Linked DNA regions of Lepisosteus oculatus. The protein of the gene in region 1 binds, or shares a complex with, the protein of each later gene. Links are inferred from orthologs where the notes say so. Each region holds a gene or a part of one and is shown in the gene's direction. Other genes may lie near its edges.

What was found. Proteins that work in one complex are often made in the same cells at the same time.
Region 2: nup98 (region 1) and nup188 share a complex: the UniProt entries of both Homo sapiens proteins name them as parts of the nuclear pore complex. The link is inferred for Lepisosteus oculatus from reciprocal best matches to the Homo sapiens genes NUP98 and NUP188.

The regions. Positions count from the first base shown.
Region 1 is NC_090700.1:12,972,312-12,979,345, forward strand, and holds the start of nup98 (nuclear pore complex protein Nup98-Nup96), read left to right. Parts: upstream 1-4,009; 5' UTR 4,010-4,195; intron 4,196-4,723; exon of another isoform or gene 4,724-5,207; intron 5,208-5,483; 5' UTR 5,484-5,511; coding exon 5,512-5,587; intron 5,588-6,530; coding exon 6,531-6,626; intron 6,627-7,034. Other genes in the region: pgap2 (post-GPI attachment to proteins factor 2), read right to left, coding at 325-490, 974-1,111, 3,643-3,662. UniProt on the Homo sapiens protein: Plays a role in the nuclear pore complex (NPC) assembly and/or maintenance. NUP98 and NUP96 are involved in the bidirectional transport across the NPC. May anchor NUP153 and TPR to the NPC.
Region 2 is NC_090719.1:7,421,557-7,429,080, forward strand, and holds the start of nup188 (nucleoporin NUP188), read left to right. Parts: upstream 1-4,435; 5' UTR 4,436-4,470; coding exon 4,471-4,496; intron 4,497-5,376; coding exon 5,377-5,431; intron 5,432-5,918; coding exon 5,919-5,992; intron 5,993-6,180; coding exon 6,181-6,265; intron 6,266-6,764; coding exon 6,765-6,845; intron 6,846-6,970; coding exon 6,971-7,015; intron 7,016-7,524. Other genes in the region: dolk (dolichol kinase), read right to left, coding at 1,613-3,184. UniProt on the Homo sapiens protein: Component of the nuclear pore complex (NPC), a complex required for the trafficking across the nuclear envelope. Required for proper protein transport into the nucleus.

The DNA.
Region 1 (7,034 bases):
TAAAATGTGCTTGTAACATTAAAACTCGATCACACAATACTAGGTTTAATTTATAATGTTGCTTCAGTTTCTAAATTAGTACTCGGAAATAGACTGCTCCTTAAATTTTGGACACTAATGTAACAGGTGAAGATAAACTACAACGTAACAAATGAAAAGAATGAAAAAATATGGGCTCACTTCAAGTGCTCTCAGGATGCCTGGATACTCAAGCAGAGATACTTTCAAGCAATTATGATGATCTTTATTTGTGTCTTTGTGAAACAGATTACTTGATCTCTACAGGCAGCTTTAAAGACCCAGATGAAGAGCAAATGTGCTCACCTTACAGTGCGTAGCGGTGGAGTCATCGAAATGAAAGATCAGTGAAATGAAGATGCAAAACACGAAGCCGATGAGCGGCAGGCAGACGGTGCCCACGATGAAGGTCGTGAAACGCAGCCGGAAGACCGGGCTATCTCGATCTGGACCACCAAGCCCCTGAAGCATCCTGCCACAGAGGTATGGACAGTATGTTAATGTGTAATACTGTGCAGTATTTCATGCATTTATGATGCAATGATAACCAACATGCAGACAACAACTACCTGTAACATTTGTAAGTTGTAAAACATGTAGTACAAAATTGAACACATTAAGTAGCTAGGTGAAATATGTTATCTTAACGAACGTGTAAGTATATATTAAGTAACTGCTCGATCTATTTTTTTTCTCGTACATTTCACATATCGACTGCTGCATAGATTGTAGTCGTTAATGATACTATCATTAAGAAGAATAACGAGGAATACATGTACATGACAAATCGTAGAGTCATTTGGATACTCCAAAACACATTCGTATTAAGCAAAACTGTTATGTTATGGCACTGTTATGGTGTACAATAAATTACATAACAATGTCAAGTACAGTAATTGCTAACTCCATGTTATGGCCTATTCAGACGTTCCAGCCAGGGACTGGAGTTCTGTACCTTATCCGGCAGACAGGCTTGGGAGCCGAAAAAGTCTGGAGCAGAACACGGCCGCCACGGACGCGACAGACTAAGCGATCGCTGAATGAAGCATCATCATGGACACGCACTAGAACAGTGGCAAGTGCAGTTCTGTTTCTATTTGAAATTGCAAAAGAATCATTGAATGAACACTCAGAGAGAGAAAAAAAACAATTTAGGAAGAAAAAATATGTGGGTGAGTACTCTTCTCTAACAGCTGATCTGTTCCTGGCAAAGCTGGTAGATTTATAAAACCCGAGCGTAATAAAATCAATTGAGTTCGTGATGTTGCAGAATGCATGAAACGAAACCTCAGCGTGTCTGTGTGACTGTGACTATGTCCCCGGAAGAAGCAAAGCACTCACACAGGTGTCAGGCTCTTTAAAGAGACAGGCTCCCAAAAGCGGAACGAAATACTCCAACGTTTCTTAACGACGTACAGTACGAGTGCTTGTACTGTACTTCTTTCCCGTCAAAAAGCGAGATGTTGCAAACGTAGAACTAACTTCTACGCATATTGCAATTTATAATCTCCTTTTCCTTGAATTTTCGACCAAGCCATTTTCTGGCCTGCATTCAAAAAGCAAACTTTTTCTTTCGTTTACTGCATTTTGTTACATATTTCATTTAAAACATTAACAACACTTACAATTGGACATATTACTTACATTGCTTGACTCGTTTCTAGAACATGTAACATCCCAGGAGACACGACCTTTTATAAAATTCAGTTTCTAAGAATGTAGTTTTTGATCCACAAAATACAGATCATCTGTGTGCTCAGAAATTCCTATTTATGTTAAAGATATATATTGCAAGATTAAAAACTAACTAAAACGGTAAGAGAAGGAAGGTTTATACCCTTTCACATTTTAAAGAAAGAATATAGCATTATTTTATTAAAGAAATTAGAGTTAATATTGATCAAGGTGTTTCATCCAGCCCTCACAGACAAGAGTTTTTTTTTAATATGAACAGATTATTTTGGCTTTACTGTACTATTGGTTAATACATCTTTAGAAACAGGTGATCTGTAAGACCCAGGATAGAGACATGTTCTACAGAAAGTGGTTCCCATCCTAGGTCCTGAGAGACCAATGTCACTTCTTGGTTTTGCCCAATCCAAGTTCTTAATCACAGGCTAAATTGAGCATATTTTAAAATTTGCTTTCAGCTTTTAAAAGGTCAAATGGGATTTGTAATTGGCATTAACACGGTACCTCTGTGCCAAAGCTGTGTTGTATGAAATGTACTCAATTAATCCTCTGCTGAAGGAAAAATAAAAGCTCAATGTGAGTGTCTGCTACAGTGTCATTTTCATCTGTGTGTTTTATTAAAAATCAATCACATATTAACACATTGTAGAGAGGCTACTCCATGTTCTGTATGCTGGAGCCGTTGGAAACCCTATCCTTCTATATCTCCTGACTGAGTATTGAAATAGCCTGAAAGCCTGTGCTTGCAAGCAGAGCAGTTAAAGTCATCAATTAGTACTGAAGATGTGGAGCTTAGCTGGTAGGGAAGCCAGCAGACACAGTGGTGCCCCAGGGACAAGGTTTGGGAAGTTTGTTCTTCCACATTCCTGGGTCAATACAAAGGGGAAACTCCATTACTTATAGCTGGCAGCTATATCACTCTGCGAATCACAACTGGTAACCCACTAACGCTAAGCAGGTGTGAGCCTGGCCATTACCTGGCTAGAAGAGGTGTTACTGGGAACAGTAGGGAACACTCACCCTGCGGTCAGGGTGGGTCTTAATGCCCCAGTATGGTGACGGGGACACTATACTGTAAATAGGTTCCATCCTTCAGATGAGATGTAAAACCTTAATCATAATGACACTCCATAGTGCTAAAAAAACCCAGGGCATTTTTCAAAAAGATTAAGGGGTATAACCCCATTGATCTAGTTAAATTTGCCTCTGGCCTTTAACCAGACACGGTCTCATAAGAATCCCCATTTATGAATTGACCTCATTACTCAGTTCTCTTCCCCCCTGATAGCTGATGTGTGGTGAGCATACTGGTGCACTTTGGCTGCTGTTGCATCATCTAGGTGGGGGCTACACATTGGTAGTGGTGGAGGAGGGAGTCCCCATTACCTGTAAAGCACTTTGAGTGAAGTGTCCAGAAAATGAAAGATACTGAAAGTGGAACTATTGTGTAACTAGTGTAAGTGGGGATTATTATAACTTGCGACTCGTAACATACCTCCAGAAAGCCCACATTTATTTAAAGTTGGTGAGAAAATTAAATTTGGGTCTGATTGTCACTCTACTTTTGGAACTTGCTTTACTTTTTGGAATAATTTCCAAATATGGTAAATCCAACCACCATAATGCAAGTACACATTAAAAAATACATTTATCATACAGCTGTAGATAAGGGGAGACTGGTGCTGCCAAGACAGACCCGTGAAAACTGCAGGACTGTAGCCCCCCAGGACCTCAGCGAGGCACAATAGTGTTAGGACATGGGGAACACATGACCAGGGAGCTACAGTATGTTTTTCATAGGATATGGGATCAAAAAAAACTGAAGACCGTTATATAAATCTGGAACAAAGTTACAACCCCGCAATTGATCCTATAAAACGGTAGCATCGATCGAAGACTACAATAAGACAACTTGCCTCTACTTTTACCCACCCGAATGAAATACAGCGCATTCATCCACCAAGTGAATCACGACTGCGAATGACTCACTATTCAAAAACGGTCGTGACTAGAGGAAGCGACGAATTCCACTCGAGCTGCACAGCAACACATGATCACGTACGGCCGTCCAGACCCGAACAGATTTAACATAAGCGGCCGGTCGCTGCCAACAGCCAATAAACTGGGACTTCGCTCCTAAGGCCTCCGAATGGAGGCGGGACACCAATTCAAACTCTACCCAGTCGCGAAAGTGCAATAGATTTACAAGCTGATGGGCGACAGTGTTGTCCAATAATATTTCAGATCCATCTGCAGTAGACGTCAGAAAGAGGTCGACATATTACGTACTGACGTAGTTTGCGTACTGCTTGGCCTTTCAAAGGTAAATTACGCAGTTTCTCTCTTCCTTGGGCGATATTGAAAAAAATATATATCGATATTGGACACTGTGGATAGTGAGCTACATAAATATCATCTTGTATTCGGACCGCTTTTGCTGGAAGAACACCTGAGGAAGATATTGAGTGGGCTTCTGAATAATACGGTAAGAAATATCGCTACTTTGTAATATTTGGTTAATTTGCACGTTTCTCTGTGGTTGGCCTTTTTAATTTGCATAAACGTGGCAGCTTCAGTTGTTAATCCTGAAGTACAATGAGAAAATATATTCCAGGGGAATATTGTAATTGCCAACGTACTTAAATGCGTGTCTGCGAAGCTTGTCTGCCTGCAAGCATATGCGACCAAGTTTGTGTTGGCTTAGCACTTTTATGTCGCAAGTGTGCATTTTATAATAATTCACATTCTTTGCTTCAGTTTCAGGTAGCAAGTGATCGGGGCACATTTTAATAAATCAAAAGAAACACCAAATACTGTAACATTGCTTGGTATCTCCTTCCAGCGTTCTCGTTTGTTTAGATAGCGATTTCATTTTTTTTTAAAAAACCGGTTTGTTCTGGTTCCTTCCAGCACGATCGGTCGAAACGCACCTAAAATGTTTGTTTTGGTATGCTTTAAGGAAGTAACCTAGGATCTTCGAAACCCCAATTCGTGCCCTGAATTGAGGCTTGTATGTGGTTGCCGCTGAAACCTTGTGCTTTAGGCCTCGACCATCGGTTCTGGCGCCTCTTCAGCGTCTTCCTGTAAACAAATCCAGCTTTAACGCGCAGAATAACCCACCATAGAAACGACTTCAAACTCCCGGAGTGATTTGTTGACAGTGTTAATTTTGCACGGTGGCTAAGAACGGTTCGCAAAATGTAGTGTTTGCCGATTCACCCGCTGTGTAATGAACTCGAATGCCGCTACATACACTTCAACAGCTCCGATCCAAGTCAACGTTTTTTTTTTTCAATCGTTCTCCTGCAGTGTTTCAGTCTTGGCTCCCGTTTGAACGTGTTTGTGCTTCCTGAAGTCTCAAAAAGGGTGTTTAGCCATTGACGTTTTCACTATTTTACTCTTTGGGGGAAAAATACGTTGTGGAAGTTCTGGGTTTTTTTTTTTGCTACCTCGATACATTTTGTTCTGTGCCGGTGCTGACTTCCAAACGAGCACTGGTAAGTTGTACTAAGGGAATGAAACGAAAACATATTTATTAGCAGTTGCCATTTCGACGCTATAAATGTGAGACTTTGTAGTTGTCTTGACGGGTTCATGAGCGAAATAAGGCTACCTCGGTATGGGTTTATGTAAAGTCGTGGAATATAAACAGTAAGAATGCCTCGACAGTTGAGATGAATATTCCATGCATTTGTCAGTTTTTTTTTATGTGACTCATACGTTAACAAAATGTGCCGAAGGTTTCTAACAGTATTTTGAATTGTTCTTCACAGACGTATGCAGTCCTGATAGGAACCGAATATGTTCAACAAAGCGTTTGGAACTCCTTTTGGAGGAGGAACTGGTGGCTTTGGAACTTCCTCCACGTTTGGACAGAGTAAGTTGCTACTTTTGCGCTGTTATTGCAGTTATAAATTCATTATTGTACTTCCATTTCATACTGGAAACATAGAACAGATTACATACTACTGTTAAGATGCTGCGCATTGACAAGTCATGGAGGGTGGTGGTGCATATAAGAAGCAAGGACAGTGAAAATAAAAGTGCTTAATGTCCATTTTAGCTTAAGGTGGAGCCTGTAAATGGATACAGGTAGGTTTGGTTTGTGGAATGTATCTCTTATCTCCTTGTCAACTTGTGTTGACATTGTTTTCAGAATCACTATTTTACAGCTTGCCTTACCGTGTATTTGTGTCTTTGTAGCTGATATCAGGCATGGAACAATGCTGGTGTTTGTGTACTATACTTTGATTTACACCTATTGGAAAGCAGTCAATCCTCAAAGATAAAGGAAAATGGTCAAACATGTCATGATATGGAGTTTTTGTTAGAAGAATCCTGTCCCGCATGTGATATAAAAACTAGAATTCCACAATAGTTTAATGTTAATGACACCAAATACACATATTCTAAAAGAAGAATGTATCTAATGCAATTAGACAAGGTCAAGCCAGATAGAGGCACCTAGAACACAGTTAAGTACACTTTATTGGAGTATCCCACTACAGTTTGTGCAAAAGACAAATGCAGTGAAAACAAGCTTGCCAGCTCTCTGCCAATGAGGGTGTGACTTTATAATGTTTATTGTATTGCCACTACTCTTTGTAAGTCCTCATCCCAAAGAAGTCTTCATGAAGTCCCAAGGTCCCCAGAATGAGCCCTGGCCACCCTGGCAGATGTAGCTTCTACTATCGGTCCCCCACTGCTGCCAGGTTGGAGCGAAGGCAGATGGTGGTTAATCTATGCACTGCCGAAAGACAGCTGTTGTCATTCGAAGTGTCTGAAAAACAAAATGGTCGCAATTTCAACTTCTTTTGCAGATTCTGGGTTTGGATCTACAGGTGGGTTTGGGACTTCAGCTTTTGGGTCCACTAATAACACTGGAGGACTATTTGGGAACACCCAGAATAAACCAGGTTTGCACCTTAAATTTCCCATTGTCATTTTGTCTTAGGTTTATTTTGCAACCAGTCCTGGTTTTACACGTTGTCCATGGATATGTTTGCTTTGAGATGTGAAAGTTTTACAAGTCAACAAAATTCATTCTTATCAACATCAAATGCAGAATCCTTATTGCTTAAAGTACGTTATAAACAAAGAGATTTCCAAACTGTGAAAATATGTAACAGGATTTGCAATGATAGTGTTAAAGTGCTATACTTGTTTTGGTAGTTAATATAACTCATTGACCAATATAACTTGCATCAGTTGGCACAGAATACATTTTTTCTACACTCTTATACCATAATATTGGGATACTTATTATTTTCAGTAAGACTATTGGATATAGTGTCACGATCAAGTGATACCTCTTTATGACTTCA
Region 2 (7,524 bases), on another chromosome or scaffold:
AAAATAAGGGCAACCTGGGATACTATTTATTTTTGTAGACATTACTAGTGTGTTGCAACAGCAATTAACATTAAGGATATGTAGATCAATCTTCAGTGAATATAACAGAAAGAAGGTTGTAGAATCTTAGCTAGCTAGAATTTTCCTAATTAGAAACTAAACTATGTGTCCTCCCTCTGTATGACAGTGTTACATAATGCACAAGTGACTTTTTAAATGTTGTTTAAATAATAGATATATTTTACAGTACTTTGAGAAGACTGGCTTAGTGATGTAGCATATTGCCATCTAGTGAGTATGCAGAGCATGGCAACTCACTTACAAGCCAAAGTAGAGGCAAAAGATAGTTTACTACATGCTGGTCTTAGAGAAGACATATTTAAGGCAGTCGTGTTTACTCGTATGATTGGTGGCCAAACTTAACTGTAGTCAAGGGAATTCCTTGACAGCTATAAGAGGAAATACAAATACAGAACTGAGGTCTATTTTCAAGGTTTTAAATCTGTAGCTTATATTAGGTTATGCAGAAGAACCTAAAAACCTTTATATAAAAACCTGAAGAAGGTTCCACCACTGAAATTGTTATTTTTAGTACTTGTTCAGTCATATAAAATGTCTAATAAAAACTAAATAGATCACATATCTATACTTTCAATTATTACATTTTTCTCTAGCTAAATTCGGTGCCCGTAATGATATAGTATTCACAATGCTTTTTCACATCCAAGTCTTAATATTTCTAGTACTTCCACAGAAATGAGAAAGACAAATTTACATTCTGAAAAAAAAATAGTGGTTTGACAAATATCTGCTGCAATCATGTTAAAAGCTGAGGAAACATGGAACGGAGAAATTCAAGTAAAAAATTCCTCAATAAAGCTTAAGCTTTAGGGTGAGAAAAATGTACATTTGATTAAGGAAAAGGCATCATCACCATTCACAATTTACTTCCATAATCACTAGGTGGTGTAATTGTTGTCAGATGTAAACTGATTCTAAACTACATATTACAAAATGAAAAACAGTATTTTGACTTCTCTTTGCTGTGCACCATCTGAAAAAAATATTATGAAATACTTTTGGGACTCGTGCGCTAGCTGGAACTGCAAAGGGATATATTACAGTAAGTATATTGAGCCTCCCCTTTTAATACTCACTCAGGAACAAAACTGCTAAAGTACTATCAGCGCTATTTTGACAAAATACAATTCCTAAATTCTACCCAAACAATAGAAAAACTAACACTGCCACAGAGACACTAAATAGCATTTTTTTTACTTCTTATGTTGCTATGACCACCCATAACTATACTGAATTGTGATTAATCTGCCTTAAATATCTTACTCTTGCTGTAGTGTTGAAGTGGCCAGTGTTGATTAACCAAAGTGCTTTCAAGTACAGCTAGCCTTAGAGTGCAGTATTCTTCTCATTCCAAAGCTAAAGCTGCTTTGCCTTCAAAAAAATAGCAGTAAATGTAGAAATGCAATTTGATTCAAACTCCTCAAACCCCTGAACTGTTGGAATATTTTCAATATGACTTTCTGTTCAGTACTGTAAGGAGATACAGTACAAGCATTAAAAAAATGAAAGGGCTTTTAATGTTCTTTTACCTTCATAGCATGAGCAGTATAAAAAGGTAAAGGGGTAGTAGGAGGTTGTCTATCTGGGCTGTGTAGGCCTCTAGTAAAGAAACCAGTGTGACTGATCCTACTATCCAAGCATAGCTGGTGTTCAAGTTAATGGCCTCATCAAAAATGAGGAAAAGAGCAATAGCAATAATCTGGGCGAAGATCGAAGTGGCTGTCCCTTCCATGGTCTTCTTGGTCCCGGGCCACCGGACCTCTCCCATGGTGCTGCCGAACACAGATGCCATAGTGTCCCCAACACCGACGGCCAGCACACCAGCATAGGGCACCAGTCCCCCCACTCCTGGGAGGCTTCCTTTAGGCATGCAGGGTCCAGGGTACAGCCATATGGGAAGGGACATCCCGAGGAGAAGGTAGATGTGGGTGAGGATGAGGGGCCCGGAGTCTCGCTCATCCAGGAACAGAGACAGCAGCTGCCGGAGGAGGTGCCCGACGGGTCTGATCCGAAAGTAGCGGACGTACTCCAGGAGGAGGAAGGCGGCCAAGCAGGTGACGGAGGCGACGTGCAGAAGCTGACGGTCGTAAATCAGCCCGGGCACGTACGTGGCCACCACAATGAAATGGAAGTACTTCCTCACGACTGTAGAGGCCTGGTGCTTCTTGGACCCCAAAGACCTCTTGTAGTTCTGGTGGAACACCACCAGAGACGCCAGCACTGCCAGCAGGACCCAGTAGGCCAGCAGGCAGAGTCTGTTCTGACTCAGGAGGAGGAAGTCGATCAGCCACATTAAGGGGTGCCTTCGGATCAGGAGGGCAAGCCATGGCATGATAATCCCCAAGCCAAGAACTGCCGTCATCATGTGGAAAAACAGGGAGGACACCCAGGTCTCCGACTCCATGAAGCAGAAGAGCAGGGTGAAGAAGATCCCCAGCAAGAGACATCCAACCACGATCACTAGCAGGAAGTAGTTGATGGGATCTCCTTTGGATTCAGGGGCATTCAGGGAGCGCTTAATGAGCTGGTTGATGATGAAGCTAATACCACCGATGATGATGAGGCCCTCACCAGGAGTGAAGCAGCGAGGCAGGAGGTACAGAATGATCAGGCTGAGGTAGACGAAGATCAGAAGCACCTCCAGCACTTCAATGACTTCAGAGACCGTTAGGGTTTGCTTGATCGTGTAGATCACGGCGCTACCAGCAATGCCAGAAATGACACAGGTGTTGGTCGGCACAGGCCTGGTGATGCCGAGGGCAATCAGGGAGAGAAACAGAGCCAGCATCATCCCTGTCGCGGTGACCACCATTGAAAAGCGCTCGAAGTACACATTTCCGGAGGCTTGGCAGCGCTCTTTCAGGGCCAGGCCAAGTAGAGGCATGATCATGCAAGCGGGCAGGATGCCACTGTTCGCAGAGGGTCTGAACTGAAACACAGCCCCGCCAGATTTCAGGAGGCGGTCCCATTTGTACTGGACATAGAAGGCTTGAATGGCCAAGGCAATGGAACACCATGACAGCTGATTCCAAACCACAAAATGGACACACAAAACAATAGTGAAAACAATAACTGACTCCACGAACACAGGATTCGTCAGCATGGTTGCAGATCCTGCAGCTTCAGGGGTGCTTCTCAAAACTGCTATTTATCGGTATTTTCTTGCATCCAGGGCAGGCCACTTCCTTGATGTAATGCTTCACATTTTTCCATTCTTCATTCTTACGCCACCTATCGATATATATATATATTACAGTGTTAGTCTCGGTCGGTGGAATGATTTAACTCTATAATTCTGTCACTTTTTCTATAGCGTATTTGCAAGCCGATGTACCCTCACGGACACGAGAGACGTCACCAATTAGAAATGCCAACGGCCAGGGCAAAATACTACAATTCTGTCGTAATAAAAGTAAGCAAATCATGGAAACGTGCTTTTACTCCCCACGTAATAAAACATTTAATAAAACTCTTCGTCATCACACATCCGCGGAGTATCCGGTTAGAAGAGAATAAAAACGTTCTTTTATGGTCGTGTAATGTCGTCTTTCAAGACGCAGCCCGACGAAATCCTCGGATCACTTAGCTTAGTACTGTATCGGTATCACCCAAGCGACTTAGATCAGCAGGATGGCCTCCTCTCTTTAAAACATTAATGCTCTTTGTTTCAAACACCACTCTGTTCCTAACAAAGCTTGTGAAACATGTAACAATTTGACAGTCAGCTTACCTTAACGCTGTGCTTTTTCATAAAACCACTCCACTGAAGTAGACTAGTACTGACATTGTTAAACGGCTATTGTATAAAACAATGTATTTCAGACAGCGTTTTTTGGCTGCAGGTGCGTAATTTCCTATCCATAGTTAAAAGCTTCAAAATTGAAAACACGAGAAACGCATGGATATTTAAGAGCTCCACGGTAAATGCATTCGAGTCCGCTTTAACTGAGGCCTTTTGTGGTTTAACAAGACTGGTTGGTAGCCAATCGATTGTATGAAATTACAACATAACGGAACTGGGTGCAAGGTACAAGATATCTGACATGCAAGCAACATCCCCATGAATTTGCAAAAGCCAACTGATAACACTACCCAGATATCATAAAATGTGTTAATTAACTTACTTCACATGTCCACCGCGATCATAACACGTTTTGTGCGTACTTTCATTCGATCGTATAATTTTTTTTTTAGTCTTTAACATCTAGGAGGCGGCCATGTTGACAGCTTGATCACATGAATAGGGCGGATTTTATTTTCTGCTTCCTACACAGTGATCGCATCTCAGTTGCCGGCTTCGGAAGTGTTTTTTTTATTCTTTCCAACCCGGGGCACCCGTCACATGACCAGGGTGTTCGACCGGAGGAGGTGTCACGTGTAGGGGGGAATATGGCGGACTCGGAGATGTGTGTCAGGTACTTGAAAGAAAAGCAAAAGTGTTCTTTTAATGTATGGCATTGTACAAAACTGATCATGTCTGAATGGGAAATGTAATGAGGAAGGATAAAATGAAATGAATGAATAGTTATTTAGACGTTTGGACGTTTTCCTTTTAGTTCTTACTTTTATAAATGGGATGGCTATTACAATGTGGAGGGAAAAATGTGTGCTGTTTTCTGCCGCATGTTAGTGAAATTTTTTAGAAGGCAGTTAACATTGCTTCTTATTCTCATTGGCAGGAAATATGTATATAACAAGTACCATGTTCCGAGATACTCCAATAATGTTCGGATCAAGAACAATTAACAGTATAGAAAAAACTTGTTGAGACTATATAGTACGGTGGTCCTATTATCTAGGTTTATTGCCAATGTTATAACAGAAGTAATTGCTTAAAAACTAGATTGAAAACGTGCCTAGTTCTTTGAATGAATGTAGGCTATTGGTTCCTAAAATTCATGCGAAGGACGATCCGTTACGCTGCATCCCTTTAATAAAGACAATTTAAAAGAAAACAAACGTATACTGTCAAAATGTTGTAACTTCCATTAACACAGAACTGCCGAGAAATGTCAAAACAGTTGAACGCGGAGGTTTGAACATACAGTAACTTGAATCTGATTTTGACACTTTCAACTTTGGAGTAAAGTATTTTTTTTCCTTATTTCTGACCCTAAAAATCGTGTGTAGCGTCCAGACGTACCAGTGAGATGTGAAATGTACGTAACAGTGTTAATATGCCGCAGATGTGTAAGCTTTTAAATGTTCACGTTTATCTCTAAGTATAAGTGCGTGGAATGTCATTTATGATTATTTTCGTCACTTTTATAGGGATGAATGCGTTTATTTTTGTAGGACCAGCAGAGAACTTTGGACGATCTTGTTGGGAAGATCGGCTTTGAGGGAACCGGTAACGTTTTTTTCCGTATTCTGTTTGCATGAATATGCAACCCTTTAATTAAAAAATGATTATCAGCAGTGCAATTTTGTTTTTTTTTCTTGGTTTTGGTATTGTTACATAATTTGTTCATATGACTCCCATTTACATCTCCGAAAACATGTATGAAGATCAGGGAAACTTGCTATGCCGCCTAGCAATTTTCTTGAAAACCTGTTAATGCTGTGAATAAACATTGAGAAAAATGTTGCAACATTCTTATCCACACAAAGGGAGCAGTCTGTGACTGGTGATTTTTTAAATAAAATGTAATTATTAGGATAAGGAGAATGTATAAAGAAGTCAGTCATAGATACCTGAATATTCTTCTTTGGTTTTCATTAAAGCTAAATCTAGAGTATTTTAGATTTTCTTAACTGTAACTGTTGTTGGAATCACAGGCGTAGCTGTATGTGTTTGTCATTATTATCTGCATTCGTGTTTTATCTTTCAATAATAGGCCCAGATTGAAGCAGAGCTTGACAGAAACTGGGAGCGGTTGCTATCAGGATTATGTTACTACAAACCACCTAGGTATGCTGTTGATAAACACTTATTTTGTAAAGGTAAACCTTTTTATATAGCATCATAGTTCAAATGTACAATATATGATTAAGATCAAAGCAGATATGTTTGCTATTATTCAGACAACAGAGCGTAGAATCAAAACATCTAAAATCAGTTAATTCAGTAATCTGATATTTGCATCTCTCTTTTTCTAGTTCATCGGCTGCAGAAAAACTGAAGTCAGATAAAGAAGTTGCCCAGCCACTGAAAGACTTTGGTCTCAGAATCAGTAAATTATTGGTGAGTGTTATGAGATTTATTTGTAAATGTAATCTTTGAGAATGGATTACATCTCCTGTTTAGGTAAGTGTAAAATATAAATTACCTTTGGATGGAATTTTATATTATTATGCAGAATTTTATGTCAAACATATTCTTTAATCCAATTAGTACAATACGGTATGTAATTGGAATGTTATAGTGCCTGACCTACACATGCCTACATTGGCTATGCGTTCTTTACGTTTATTTTTGTGAAAAATAATCTTTAACCTTTGTGAGTTTTTTTTAAATGAGATTGTGTGCTTTAAAATGCTCTGTTATTCTTTAAGAGGTGCTGAAGCATATTCAAGTTCTTGCAATTGATTAAATTAACTACTTGTATTAATAAAGTAATTAGAAATTGTACTATTGCAGCCTGTGATATGGAGAATGTGCAACATCAGATTTTGTTTTGCCATTGAGATAATAAATTGCCACAGATTTGTCATGTCAACATGGTATATTTACTGTATTCCAGGGCCTTGATGAACAGCAGAGTGTCCAGGTGTTGCAGTGTTACTTGCAGGAAGACTACAGAGGCACCAGGGATGCCTTAAAGGTAGAGAAGGATTTCCAGTGCCTTAATAATGAAATAGAAAAATTCACCAACCTGGAAACGGAATAGTTTTTGGAAAGTACTTTTCCCTTTTCACATGATCTGTTTGTTTCTCTTTCTTACATTAGTCTGTCCTGCAAGATGAGCGGCAGAGCCAAGCACTGCTGTTAAAGGTAAGCTGGAATCCAGTGTGAAACTGCAGATCAGATGATCAGACCCTGATGATGTAACAGGGGTGCAAATGCTTGACCAGATCTGCACGGGACATGAGTTTCTCGAAGTTAATCAGAAGATGCCCAATGCACAGTGCAAACCAGGCCATTTGAAGACAAAGGCAAGCGTGGCCAGACAGAGGAGTCCCGATGCAAGAGCAGGTTTTAAAATTGCCGAGTCTGTGAGTCTCTGGCAGCAGAGATGGTAGCTAATGTAACAGTCTGTACATATTTTGTTGTATATTGGGTATTTGGACAATTCATTCATGCATATATTACAACTTCTAAGATAGAAAAAAAGAACAGGCCTTTGTTAAAATTACAATCAAACTTAAAATCGAAAACATGACTATGATCGTGTAATTAATCCAGTAATCATACAAGTTATTTTCTCTGAACCTTTTAAGTCCCGGTGTTTACTCCTTTTATGTTTGCACATTTCATTGTATCCACTGCAGCTTCTTTTTCTT